Linked DNA regions of Elephas maximus indicus. The protein of the gene in region 1 purifies or fractionates together with the protein of each later gene. This does not show direct contact. Links are inferred from orthologs where the notes say so. Each region holds a gene or a part of one and is shown on either strand. Other genes may lie near its edges.

Evidence for each region. Proteins that work in one complex are often made in the same cells at the same time.
Region 2: the proteins of NEUROG3 (region 1) and C1QBP purify together in Homo sapiens (affinity purification with mass spectrometry; 3 studies listed by BioGRID and IntAct, counting the BioPlex papers as one, with this or other methods). This does not show direct contact. The link is inferred for Elephas maximus indicus from reciprocal best matches to the Homo sapiens genes NEUROG3 and C1QBP.

The regions. Positions count from the first base shown.
Region 1 is NC_064834.1:18,378,864-18,383,888, reverse strand, and holds NEUROG3 (neurogenin-3), read right to left. Parts: upstream 1,181-5,025; coding exon 530-1,180; downstream 1-529. UniProt on the Homo sapiens protein: Acts as a transcriptional regulator. Together with NKX2-2, initiates transcriptional activation of NEUROD1. Involved in neurogenesis. Also required for the specification of a common precursor of the 4 pancreatic endocrine cell types.
Region 2 is NC_064837.1:15,103,881-15,110,853, forward strand, and holds the start of C1QBP (complement component 1 Q subcomponent-binding protein, mitochondrial), read right to left. Parts: upstream 3,001-6,973; 5' UTR 2,912-3,000; coding exon 2,686-2,911; intron 2,107-2,685; coding exon 1,956-2,106; intron 1-1,955.

The DNA of each region.
Region 1 (5,025 bases):
TAAGGCAGAGTGGAGTGGCCCGAAACCCGGGACTCAATGGGGGGAGGAGGGAAGGGCAGCGGCGTCTTTGGAGAAGAGACGCTGAGCTAGGGGAGCCAGCGCTGAGACCATTGGATTAAATTCTGTTGGGGGAGGTGTGGGAAAAGACAGACGGACAGGCAGACAGACAGACAGACACCGACTGGAGTGCCGGTAGGGCTTTTGAAGACGGTAGACGTCTCCCGCTGTGTAGTGCTACCATCCCTCTTTGCACGAGATTCTGGGGTGGCCCCAGAAAGGGGCCTAGAACGCGTGGAGCCTGCAGTGCCCTCTTCGCGCAGGGAGAGGTATAGGGTTGCTGGAGTTGGCGTGGCGGGGAGGGCTGGGGGTTGAACCCGGTCTGCCACCCCCGCGGGCGTGGGGGCTGCTAGGGGTCGGCAGGCGAGAGACGGGAGGAACACTTGTGCTCGAGAGCCACAGCCTCCGCCCACCCCTGACAGTCCCCTCCCTCTCTCCTAGCACCCCACCTCCGGGCCGCCGACGGGCCTCTTCACAGAAAGTCTGAAAAGGCCAGGGCGCCTGGGCGCAGGCAGGCTGGGGAGACTGGCGCCAGTAGCCCCGGCAGCTCCTCCAGCGAGGCAGCGGGACTCAGGCTGCCCGCCTGAGAGACTGGGGAGTAGAGGGAGCCCCAATCCCCGGGGGAGCCGCGGTCTGGGCTGCCTAGCTCTGCGCAAGGCGGCGCCGGCGGCTCCAGCCCGTCGAAGAGACTGTGGTCTGCTAGGCGCAGCGTTTGCGTCAGCGCCCAGATGTAGTTGTGGGCGAAGCGCAGCGTCTCGATCTTAGTGAGCTTCGCGTCGTCCGGGAAGGTGGGCAGGACGCCGCGAAGAGCGTCCAGCGCCGAGTTGAGGTTGTGCATCCGATTGCGCTCGCGGTCGTTGGCTTTCTTGCGCCGGCTCCGTCGCTGCCTGCTCAGCGCCAACTCGCTCTTGGGCCGGCTGCGTCCCCCGTGCCGCGCCCGGAGCTTCCTCGCTGACCCCCGACAGCCGCTGGCTTGGGCCTCGGTGCAGCCCGGGGGTAAATGAGTGGGGCTGGGCGGGGCGGACGCGGAGCAGGTCACTTCGTCGTCCGAGGCGCTCGGGAAGGGCTGCTCAGTCTGGCGGGTCACTTGGATAGCAGGCGCACCCGAGGGATGAGGCGCCATCCTGCGGTGGTGTAAGAGCGACCGACCGGTAAGCGTCTATCGATCACATCCGCTCAGCTCTCGACCCCCGGACCAGATGGTGAAACAAACAACCAAAACCGAGGAAGAGCCACCCCGCCGGGTCAGAGGACCCCCTGCCACCCGTCCCTTCGCACCCTCCAAGTGCCAAAAGAGGGTTACCTAGTTTGCTGGGCGCAAAACGGCACAGAAGGGTGAGCAACCAGGGCTGAGCTGGCCTTCCCGCCCGCGGGCTGAGCTGAGCTGCAGGCGCCGCCGCCTGGGAGTTTCCCCAGCCCCGGGAGCGGAGAAGCGTGAAGCCTGCGTGGTCCTGGTCCCTGTCTGTGGCTCTGTCTCGGCACGGCTGTGAGACCGCAGGGATTTCCTGAGCTGCAAGTCGTGTGCCCCTTGGCACGCTTTATCTGCTCGGCCCGGGCCAGGAGCGTGCCTGTCCGGCTGCTGCCTCAGCCGCGGACCAATCAGCGCCTGGGCCCCGGGGCCGCGCCACGCGAGCCCCCTCCTCCCCCGCGGGGCACAGCTGGATTCCGGACAAAGGCCCAGGTCGGGGGAGGGGAGCGCGCTCTGTTTGCTCTCTCCCCACGGGCTCTGTCCCAGCAACTCTCAGTTCCTCAAAGAACCTCGCCCATGCGCAAAACCGCGTCTGGCTCGCATCTGGCCGCCTAGAGAGCTTAGCTCGTGTTCTGTCTTTTGCTTCTGCTCAGATTATCTCTTGGTACCTTTGGGACGCCTGTAGGAGAGGCCAATCCCCACGTGTCATGCACGTGAAAATTTAGACTCTGAGGGAGAAGGCTTGCCTCAAATCGCACTGTGAGGTCGTGGGAGAAATGGAACAAGGAGCCAGAGGTCCTGACTACCAGCTTGCCGGCTGCCACCCTGCACTCCAGCGCAATGGGTCAGGTTAAGAAACACACGTGGAGTGGTGTTTCACTAGCCAGCTGCTCCTGGGAAACAGGCCGACGGCTTGGAGAGGAATCCTGCCTATGTCCGTGGGGCTCAGAAACCTTCGCCTGGGGGGTGTCTGAGTCCCAGCCGCGTCCTGAGATGCCGCCCCAAACTCTCCCAGATAGGGGCACTTGGAACCCCGCCCCGCCCACCCCACCCGAGACGTTCTGATCCTTCCCCAGAGGTGGAAACTGGCTGTGGTGGGACCTTCAAGGGGCCATTACACCGCCACTAGGCGTGGACAGTACCCTAGCGTGCTGGCCAGGGCCTGCAGGGGGAGTGGTCGGGGAGGTGCGAGGGGGCCAGGATAGGGCCAGGAGTGCACCGCGAACCAGAGGAGTGTTGGAGACCGCCGCCTGGGCTGTGCTTTTTGAACCCCCACGATGCGGTGGTACTGAGGGAGTCAGATCCACCCTTTCTCCCCTTAGCCCTCCTGTCCAACCACAGGCGGGCAGGGGCCGCGGCGGTCACCTGGCCTGGTCCCTGCCTCGTCATGAGCGCCCACGGAGCACTGGGCCCTCGGTTTGCCCCATTAGCTTTAACCAAAGTGATTCTGAACCTATCATCCCTCCTTTCTTCCCCGCCCCTCCCTCTTGTTCCCGCCTCGAACACCCAGTGGTCTTCTGCTTCCGGTCACTCAGGGTGAGGGGTCGCTGCTTCCGCTCGTCCTTATTCACCGCGAAGTACGGGGGCGGGGGGAGGGAGGAAGCAGAGGCCGAAACGACTGGCGCCTGGGCTAAGCCTCCCGTGGCAGGGAAGGCTTCGTTTTCTAACGAGCCCAGAAACCCTAAGCTTCCCAGAACCCGGTGGAGGTGTCAGGCCCAAATGGGAGGTTGAGGGGATGGAATGAGCAGACGAGGTAGGTCAGCATGTCCGCGCTGGTGACGGCTCATTGCCCAGGCTGCTGAAGGGGTGGGGGGAGGGACGAAATTAACTCCAAGGCAGAGAGTGGATGTGCTTGGGAGCCAGAGAGATCTAGAACTGGGGTGGGGGCGCAGAGAGTGGAGGGAGCCGAAGCCCTACGTCAGGGTCAAGACTAAAAAAGAGACTGCACCAGGATTCTTGGGACCTCATCTTTGCTGTGTCTTCTCCCTTGGGTCATTATTAGCTCCAGATCTATCTTCTAGTCATAAAAATGGGAACCTGAGGCCCATTTTACAGATGGAACAGTCAAGGCCCAGAGAGGAAAAATGACAAACCAAAGTTACATAGCAAGTTCTATCAGACCACATAGGACTCAGGTCTCAAGACTTTTAGTGTAGATTCTCTCCTGTACCTTCTCCTTGATTACACGGAAAATATTTTCTCAAGGCAAGACCAAAGACCCCTAAATACAGAAAACAGGAGAAGCCTGGGGTCTGTGAAGGATATCTGGACCATGTAAGAAAAGGCATAGTGACTCCATACCGCAGCGCCAAGGGGAGCCATTCCAGCCCCATCTCTCGACTTTCCTGCCCCATGCTCCAGTATTGCTTAACTTACACCCCTGTGAATTGGGAACTGGGAGAGGAATTCCAAAGCGTGCTTCCCTAGGGCTGATGGACCCGGGTAGGCTCCATGTGGGGAGCCTTGGTTATGAGGGATGCCATCGCCTCCCTGTGGTTCCCTGGTAGCCTGAAGAGCAGCCCGAACCCGGGACACTCGACCTGCGGTGAACCTAGATGGAGAGGAAGGGCAAAGCTCTCTCTGGCTGGAGCCTGCCCTGAGCTGCTAATGGGTGGTGGCGGGAGCTGCAGCCAGAGCTTCCTGTGACAGAGAACATTCTGGGGGATTCTTGGAAACTTCTTGGAGGGGAGAGAACCCTGGGATCTGCTTGGAATTATTCTCTAGCCTCCCTAGAGCACCTCCATCTCAGGACCCTCCGGGGCTTGCAGGCTACCACCACTCCTGCTGTGCGCAAAAAGCAACTAGGGCGCGGAGCGCACAGCGGCAGGGAGCAGCCGCCTGGTCACTGAACGCCAGAACTCCCGGTGCTTCTGGCCAGGAGGGCGGGGTTGGAGGTCGAAGATCCCAGGGAGGTTAGAGATCGAGGATCTGTGCCCTCCCTCTCCGCTGCATGGGACGCCCAGACCCCTCTCCAAATTTTATCCCTGTGCTTTTGGCGGCGGAGGCGCAGGTGTTGACAACACGGTGCGCTCTAATTGGTGTTTGTGAAACGGATCTTCCTTCCGGGAGCAGACCCTGTTCTTGCTGCCCCGGGCCAGCCATCGCCTCCGGGGCCTCTGGAACCCCCTCATCCTGCGACTCTCTGGGATCTAAGCTTGTCTAGAGGCTGCGGGGGCCCAGGGGAGAGGCGACAGTCAGACGCCTGGAGACCGCGGACAGAATGGAAAAGAAGGAAGGCAGCGGCCGGCATTACCGCCTTCCTGTCGGCGGGGGGAATCATAGCCGTGCTTGGGGGCTCTTTGAGAGTTGAGCTGGGAGGAAGGGGGCTATGGGAAGCTGAATAGCTAATGGTTTGCCAGAGGAGGGGGCTTCTTTCTCTCGCCTTCGCCTCGGTACTGAAAGAGGGGAAGACAAAAATCTGGCGAGCGAGCTGCCCAGGCCGAGACTGGCCACTTCAAACAGCCCTTCAGACAAAAGGAGACGACGAAAAGAAAGCCCCACCTGTCTCCAGTGTTTGCTAAAATAATAATAAATAGATTTCGTTTAATAAATAATTACAAGAGATTGTAAAGTGGAGTGCTTTGGAAAACATCTACCGCGGGAGTCAGCGCAGCCAGCCATCACCTGCTCCTAAGGCGGGCAACTTTATTGTTAAGCCACCCCCCAACTAGTTCGCCTCTGATAAACTCTCCCTCATTTTCACAATGACTGTTTACTCATAGTTAGCACAATATTACCTTTGCCGTGATAAACCCGGAGGGGGGAGACCTGGCCCCTGG
Region 2 (6,973 bases), on another chromosome or scaffold:
TCCATCATGGCCAAATACAGTCACATGTCGGCTACTTCCAACAGGCCAGCATCCCAGGGCTCACTGCCCAGCTGACACTGCCTGCCCTAGTCTTTCCCCGGCACTTTCCTGATGGAGGTGGGCAGCTGAGAAGTCGGTGCTCCTTTAAGAGCTTTCTCCATCACAAAACCTGCCCCTGGGAGGAAAAGCGAGTGAGCACTGGAGTTACATCAGCTGAGGACCACTTGCAGCCCTAGCCAGGAAGGGGGACTTCACCGGGAACATGCTGCAGGACAGACTCATTCTCCGCTGTGCTGTGGGAGGCCAGGAAACACTTTAGTGAAGCGACAGAACACACAATTCATCTGTGTACAGCTAATGACAATCTGAAGATGCAAGCAAGCACGCTCAGCTGACAATCACATTCCAAAATCTGAGTCAAAGTTCCAGTGATGCTAAATCTGGAAGTAGCAATCCTGGGCTGCACACTCCAGCAGGTACTGTTCCCATTTGCTTTACAGGAAGGACACCTCTCGGCACACACTAATAGGTGCCCCTGGAGTGGTGCTAACTGGCTGCTTTGCCAGGAAGCCATTTTCCCATAGGAACAATGTGGTTTGAGGTTCAACCACAAAATCTACCTCATCTGCAGTAGTGTTAGGCAATAAGCTGAGCTCCTGGGCACACAAATGCATGACATTCGCTGCAGTTTTATTTATAATAGCCAGAAGCTGGTTACGGCTCACTATCCAACTCCGAAGGAAACAGTTTAGGTGAAGTGACAGAACATACAATTGATCTATGTATGGCAAAAAGCAACTATACCCCCAGGCAAAAAAAGAATCAGTAGTCTGCCTCACAGGTATAAATTAACTCAAGACCAATCACCAACCTAAACATAACGGCCAAAACTACATAAAACTCAGAAGAAAACGTAGATATAAATCTTGGTGACCTTGGGTCAGGCCACTAAAAACAGAAGCAAAAAAAGATAAACTGGACTTCATCAACATTAACCTTTTTTATGCTTCAAAGAACACCATCAAAAAAATGAAAATCTAGGGAATGGGAGAAAATATTTGCAAATCATATATCTGAGAAGGGAACTGTATCCAGAATATATGAACACGCAAATCCATAGAGGCAGAGAGTAGATTAGTGGTTACTAAGGGGAGAGACGTCGGATGGGGAGTGACTGCCAATGGGTTTGGCTTTTTTGGGGGGGGGTGGGGCAGGGTGGTGGTGAAAATGTTCTGGAATTAGGTAGCGGTGATCAAGGCACAACTTTGTGAATGCTAAAAGCCACTGAGCTGTATACTCTGGGGAAGAAACCAGAAGACCCTAAATGTTTAGCCGTAAAGTGGGATTAAGGATGACTACATACTGCAGAAAAAGAATTTAACAGTTAGGAATGGGGAGGAGCTGAACTAGGTCAAAAGCTGCCCACCTGTGAGTGCAGCCCTTACTATATTGTCACCCAATCCTGTTACCTATAAATTACATATCTTACTTTTTCACCTACTGTAAACATTCAGAGAGCAAAGTGCCTGGCTTTACTCAGACACAGAGCCAGCCCGGCAGGTTATTAGTCAGCACCGTAAACCAGAGATCACTGACTGTTTTAACAGGAATATAAGAATTTCTGATTTTGCAGGCCTAAATTTAGACAGGGCATGGTCTCTCCACCAGCAAAGGTTTACTGCAGACTGCCTTTACTGGGCCAATAGACTTCCAGTCACACGCTTTTGTTCCACTTCCTTACTGTCTCCTTTGTAACCAGCCCACAGCAAATTTGTGTCCAGTGAATGACCTGAAACTTAGGAACTTGTCCAGATGCACCCTTCTCTTTCTCTTGAAAGTTATGTATCAAATTACCTGCCTTAAACTCAAGGCTGTTCTGGAGTAGGCCCAGGGCAGCTCTTGCAGGGTCCTGGATTTGGCCCCTGGAGTTCCCAAGCACTGAGCCTGGTACTTACTTTTCCCCAGCAACTTTCCGCACTAATTTAGCTTCTGTCCCATTCACTTCCAGCTCCCAGCCTCCAGACATCTTGGGGAGGGACTTATGTTTCTGGATTTTCTTCTCCTCCTTAATTTCATCATTCAGGAACTCAACAAATGCTTTGTCTCCTAAAATGAGAAACCAGATGACACAGAAAAAAAAAGTCAATCAGTCTAAAAGCATCAAACAATGACCCAGGTTACTGCAGCCAGATATCTGGACTTGGGCTGTCTCTAATGTCTTTGCTATCGACGGTTGCTCTGGGAATTTAGTCCAATTCACTTCCTTAAGCCTCATTTGTAAAAATTCCATAACGGTCTCCGTGGGAAGCTGAATTCGAGTCTGGAGAAGTGATTTCCAACAATCTCATGACCACGTTTCGCCACAAAGCAAAGAACGCCCGACTACCTTCCTGAACTTGTCAACCGACATAACCATGCTGCTTTCAACCACAGCCCTCGGCCTTCCTAAAGCTCAGTTTTCGCGGGACTCAGGATAAAGGCGGCGCCCAGGGCTTAATGCTCGCTCTCCCGGGTGGGGTGCGGGAACGTGCTGCCACGTGAGCTCAGCCACCCGTGCAGCTCATCAGTGGACAGAACGCTCGGCGCTCCGGGAGGCGGCTCCAGCAGCAGGCTCCCGGCCTACACTCGCCCTCCCCCTCCCCGGGCCCCCGGAGCCCCCCATGTCGGCCCCGGATCCGGCCCCACCTTCAGTGTGCAGCCCACCGCAGCCGCAGCCGCAGGGCCCGCGGGGCCGCAGGAGGCCGGGCCGCCGCTCCGAGCCCGCGCGCACGCTGAGCAGCCCGAAGGGCCGGGCGCAGGGCTGGGGCGCCGGCTGCAGCAGCCGCCGGAGCGGCGGGAAGGGCGCGGCGGCGCGGAGGCCGCCCACGGCGGAGCCCAGGGCGCGGGGCGCGCAGCGCAGTAGGGGCAGCATCACCGACGCGGAAGCTGCGGCGCGACACGTGCCGATGCGAAGGACAACTGGGGCCAAGGGGCCCCCGGACCCAGCGCGCCGCCGGAAGTACCGCCTTCGCACGGGAAGCGCTTCCCGCGTCGCCGCTTTAAAGGTCGAAAGGCTCGTGGGCCGTGCAGCGCCCCCTTCTGACGGCCTCCGGTTCTGAGTCGACCTGAGTAACGTCCAAGTCTGTATAAATGGCCAGCATAAGTTGTGGCCCGCGGATGCTAGACTCTCCGAGTTTCCATCTACTGTTTTCAAAGCGCGACAGGACTAATAGGACTTCGTGAACACCCCAACTCCGAAGTCACCTCCTTTAAGAGGCCTTCCTGGTACCTCATCCTCCCTCCCACCAGATGGTTAACTCATGCCCGTGCGCCCACAGCCCGTGGCTTCACTTTTCCTTCCGCAGACACCTCCTGGTACTGCTGATGGACCTGGCCGCCTCCCCTCACTCCCGCGGGCCAGGGTCTGTGCCCTCCCTCCAGCCTCGCACCCAAGCTCTGAACATCATTGTTCTGGAGCAAGAAGCTATGGTTTGTATCAGATTCAGGTTAGGAATCACCCACGGGATGTATAAAGTACCGAGAAAGTATGTCTTCCCAAATTAGTGAGAAAGATTAAGACTAATTACTTGGTATATTCTAAACAACCGTCCGTAAATAGGGAAAGGAGACCCAAGAAAGAAGCCACACACATCATGTACAAGGTTGATTTTTAATGGACTTGATAGTCATGTGCAAATTTAAGCATTACATATGCAAGAGCTGATGTTTCTATAGAGCTGTTTGAGCAAGACCAGACTCAAAATGCAACATAAACCCAAACCATTTTTTTTCTGACTCGTTTTTTTGCAAGTTACAATATTCTGATCAAATAAAATAGAATAAAATTCTTGTTTTGAAGCAAGCAGAGTTGGGGATCTCATACCACCAAGAAAGCACCACGAGAGTGTCGTTTGGACCTGGGGTCACTGCGCCTGAGAAGCTCCTCAACCATGTGAAGATCGAGGACGAGGACCTTCCTCCGGAGCCAACAGAGAGAGAGAAAACCTTCCCCTGGAGCCGACACCCTGAATTTGGACTTTTAGCCTACTATACTGCAAGAAAATTAACTTTCTTTGTTAAAGCCAAAAAAAAAAAAAATTCTTGTTTCCCCACAGGTGCGGTATTTCCTTGTATGTTTAAGGAATGGTATCTGGCCAATTTCAAGCAGTTCCTGGTAGCTGGATTGAACAAATTTACCAGTCACAGTACGTAACGAGTTTTACCCCAGAGCAAATGTTTGCCTCTGTCCGGCTACCTTGCTAAAACCAGCACAGATGCAACGTCAAGGTTCTTTGCTGCCCCCTCAGGACCCACTGTTTGCAGTGCTTTCCCTTGTAGTGAAACCTTTCTCACTTCGGATGTCTCACAGTTTATGACCAAGAAGAAGGCCTGAGGGTGCGAAACGCTGGGAGTGCATTTATTTACATGCCGCTGCTCAGGGGAGCTAGTGACTAGTCCAGATGTGGATTTCACTGGGTGGAAAAGAAGTCTCGCATCATCAGAGATTTTATCAATTGAAAAAAGTCCCTCAGGACGATACTGCAACATCATTGTGAAGCATTTTAACTTTCTTAAGAAAGTCTAAGTTTAAAGCATACTACTCCCTGCAGCTCAATAAAAATAACCATTTCTTTCTTTGTAGTAATACATAGGAGTCAGAATGGGTTTTCCAATCTGATTTAATCCCTGAGCAACCAGGTTAAAAGTTTTAACATCTTAAAAAGCACGATAAAAACCTAAATATTAAAACTCTACCAGAATGTTAGTGATAAAAGTATTTCTATACAGAAACGTTAAAGCTACTCAGAGGCGATTTATACTCCCTTACCCCTTACTCCCACTCGGAAAACGGTATTTCTGGAAAACTTTCAGGTACTTAAGCTGGACATTATCTACATAAAGTTTTGCGTGAATCAGAGAACACCTCTAGTTAGATAATATGCTGAGAAATATAATAAATCACCCTACCCCTAATTTTTTACCATCATGATGAATGTTTTATTAGAAATATAATGTTTTCTTTTACCAAGTCAGGCTAAACACCCTCCTGCCTGCTGGCACTCTATAAAATACATGGGAAAAAAAAATTTTTTTTTTTCAGAAAGTTAGCAATGGTAAAAGCAAGTAGTTCTGAGGAAGAGCTAGCTAAAAATTGTGTCTCTTAGCTGCGGTCAAGTCGGCCCCCAACTCACGGGGACCCCCTGCCCAACAGGACTGGCCTGTTGTGACCCGTAGTGTTTCACTGGCTGATTTTCGGCAGTGGATCACCAGGCCTTTCCTCCTAGTCTGCCTTAGTCTGGAAGCTCTGCTGAAACCTGTTTAGCATCACAGCAACATGTAAGCCTCAACTGACAGGTGAGTGGTAGCTGCACTTGAGGTGCATTGGCCAGGAATCGAACCTGGGTCTCTCACATGGAAGGTGAGAATTCTACCACTGAACCACCACTGCCCTCAGCTACAAGTCTAAGAACGCAGTGAGACAGGGTGTACAGGATCTGTCAAATTCTGTTTGGTGTAAATGTAGCTATTTCTAATAGAAATAAGTCGCAGGTGCCCCGACAGCCCCTGAACACAGGTTAAATGCTTGAATGCTCAAGGGTGGAGCCGGTGTCATAGAAACTGATCTGGCCTTCACGTGCACAACTGGGGACAATGTGGGACTGAGGCACTCCGTTGGGCGTGGTCTCACGGAAGAGTTCCTTGACCCAGACTGAAGAGACTGTCCGCTGTCTTTGAAGAAGATTCTAGGCACAGTTTGGCCCCATGCCTGTAAACTGCATGATTCACTTTGCGATTTTAAGAAATGACCAAATTCTGCACAGATGTGTTTAGACCAATGAAGCACAATTAAAGAGCTTCTTCCAGGACCGAACATTCTCTGGGGAAAGATTATTTGCTTTTGATAACTGCATACCTAAGAAGAACCTTTGGTGTCTTCTCCCTTCTCAAAACATGGGAACAGGAAGACTGTGCAGGTCTTCCAATTCCCTCTGATAAATGTGGAAAGTGAGGGCAGGAGTGGGTAACAGGCACAGTTAAGAAGTGGCAAAGCCAGATTGTCCCCAAGTGCCTAAGAAGAAGGAAAAAGATGACAGAAAATAAATAAGCAGCAAGGAATATAAAGCCAAGATGTGGACGGGATGAGCCAATGCCCTCTGGGTTCTCATTGGCCTGCAGCTACACCACCGCCACCCAGGTTCTCGGAGTAAGGGGTCCTGCCAGAAGAGAAATGGCTGAGGTATAGCCCAGAGCCATTCCTTATGGTGACATGCTTATATGAGCCCAGTCAGAGAGAAAAAAGACAACTGGGTATGCTGGGAGCCATTATACTAAAAAGTCAGTTTCTGACGTCTATACTTACAGGATTCAAAAGATACAAATCAACCTTAGCTCAGGAAGCTGAAATGTCTCCTAAGAGCACTGACAGGAGACATGTACTACAGAGGCACCAAAGATGGAGACTTCCTGGAGCAGACGCAGCCTGGCGACCTGGGGGCACTCCCTTACCGGTCTCTGTGGAGACAGCAAGAGGGAGGCCATACCCTGGGCAGTGGGGGGCCACTGGGGGCAGCCATCCCATGAGGTCAGAGACAAAAGCACCTCCCTCTGGAGACTTCTACAGAAGTCAGTTTCTTATGTTTTCTATTTTAAAACTTCAGATAGAAATTAAAGTAGATCTAAGGACAACATCCAAGCTCTGTGACCTCCTACGGCCCCTCTCGGAGTGTCCCCCTCACGGTCATAAGAACTCATGGAATTTTGTTGTACTCAATTCCCATCATGTAAAAAGCAATAATGGCTCACAATTTATTGTATGTCTATTGTGTCTGTCGTGTGTGAGACACAGCTCTAGGTACTTTCCACTCATTTTCCCCTAACTTCATGACCTGGACCCTGAGAGGAAGTATTATCATCATCATCCCCACTTGGCAGATGAGGAAACTGAGGCTCAGAAATTAACTAAGTCGCCCAAAGTCAGCTAGCAAGAACCAAA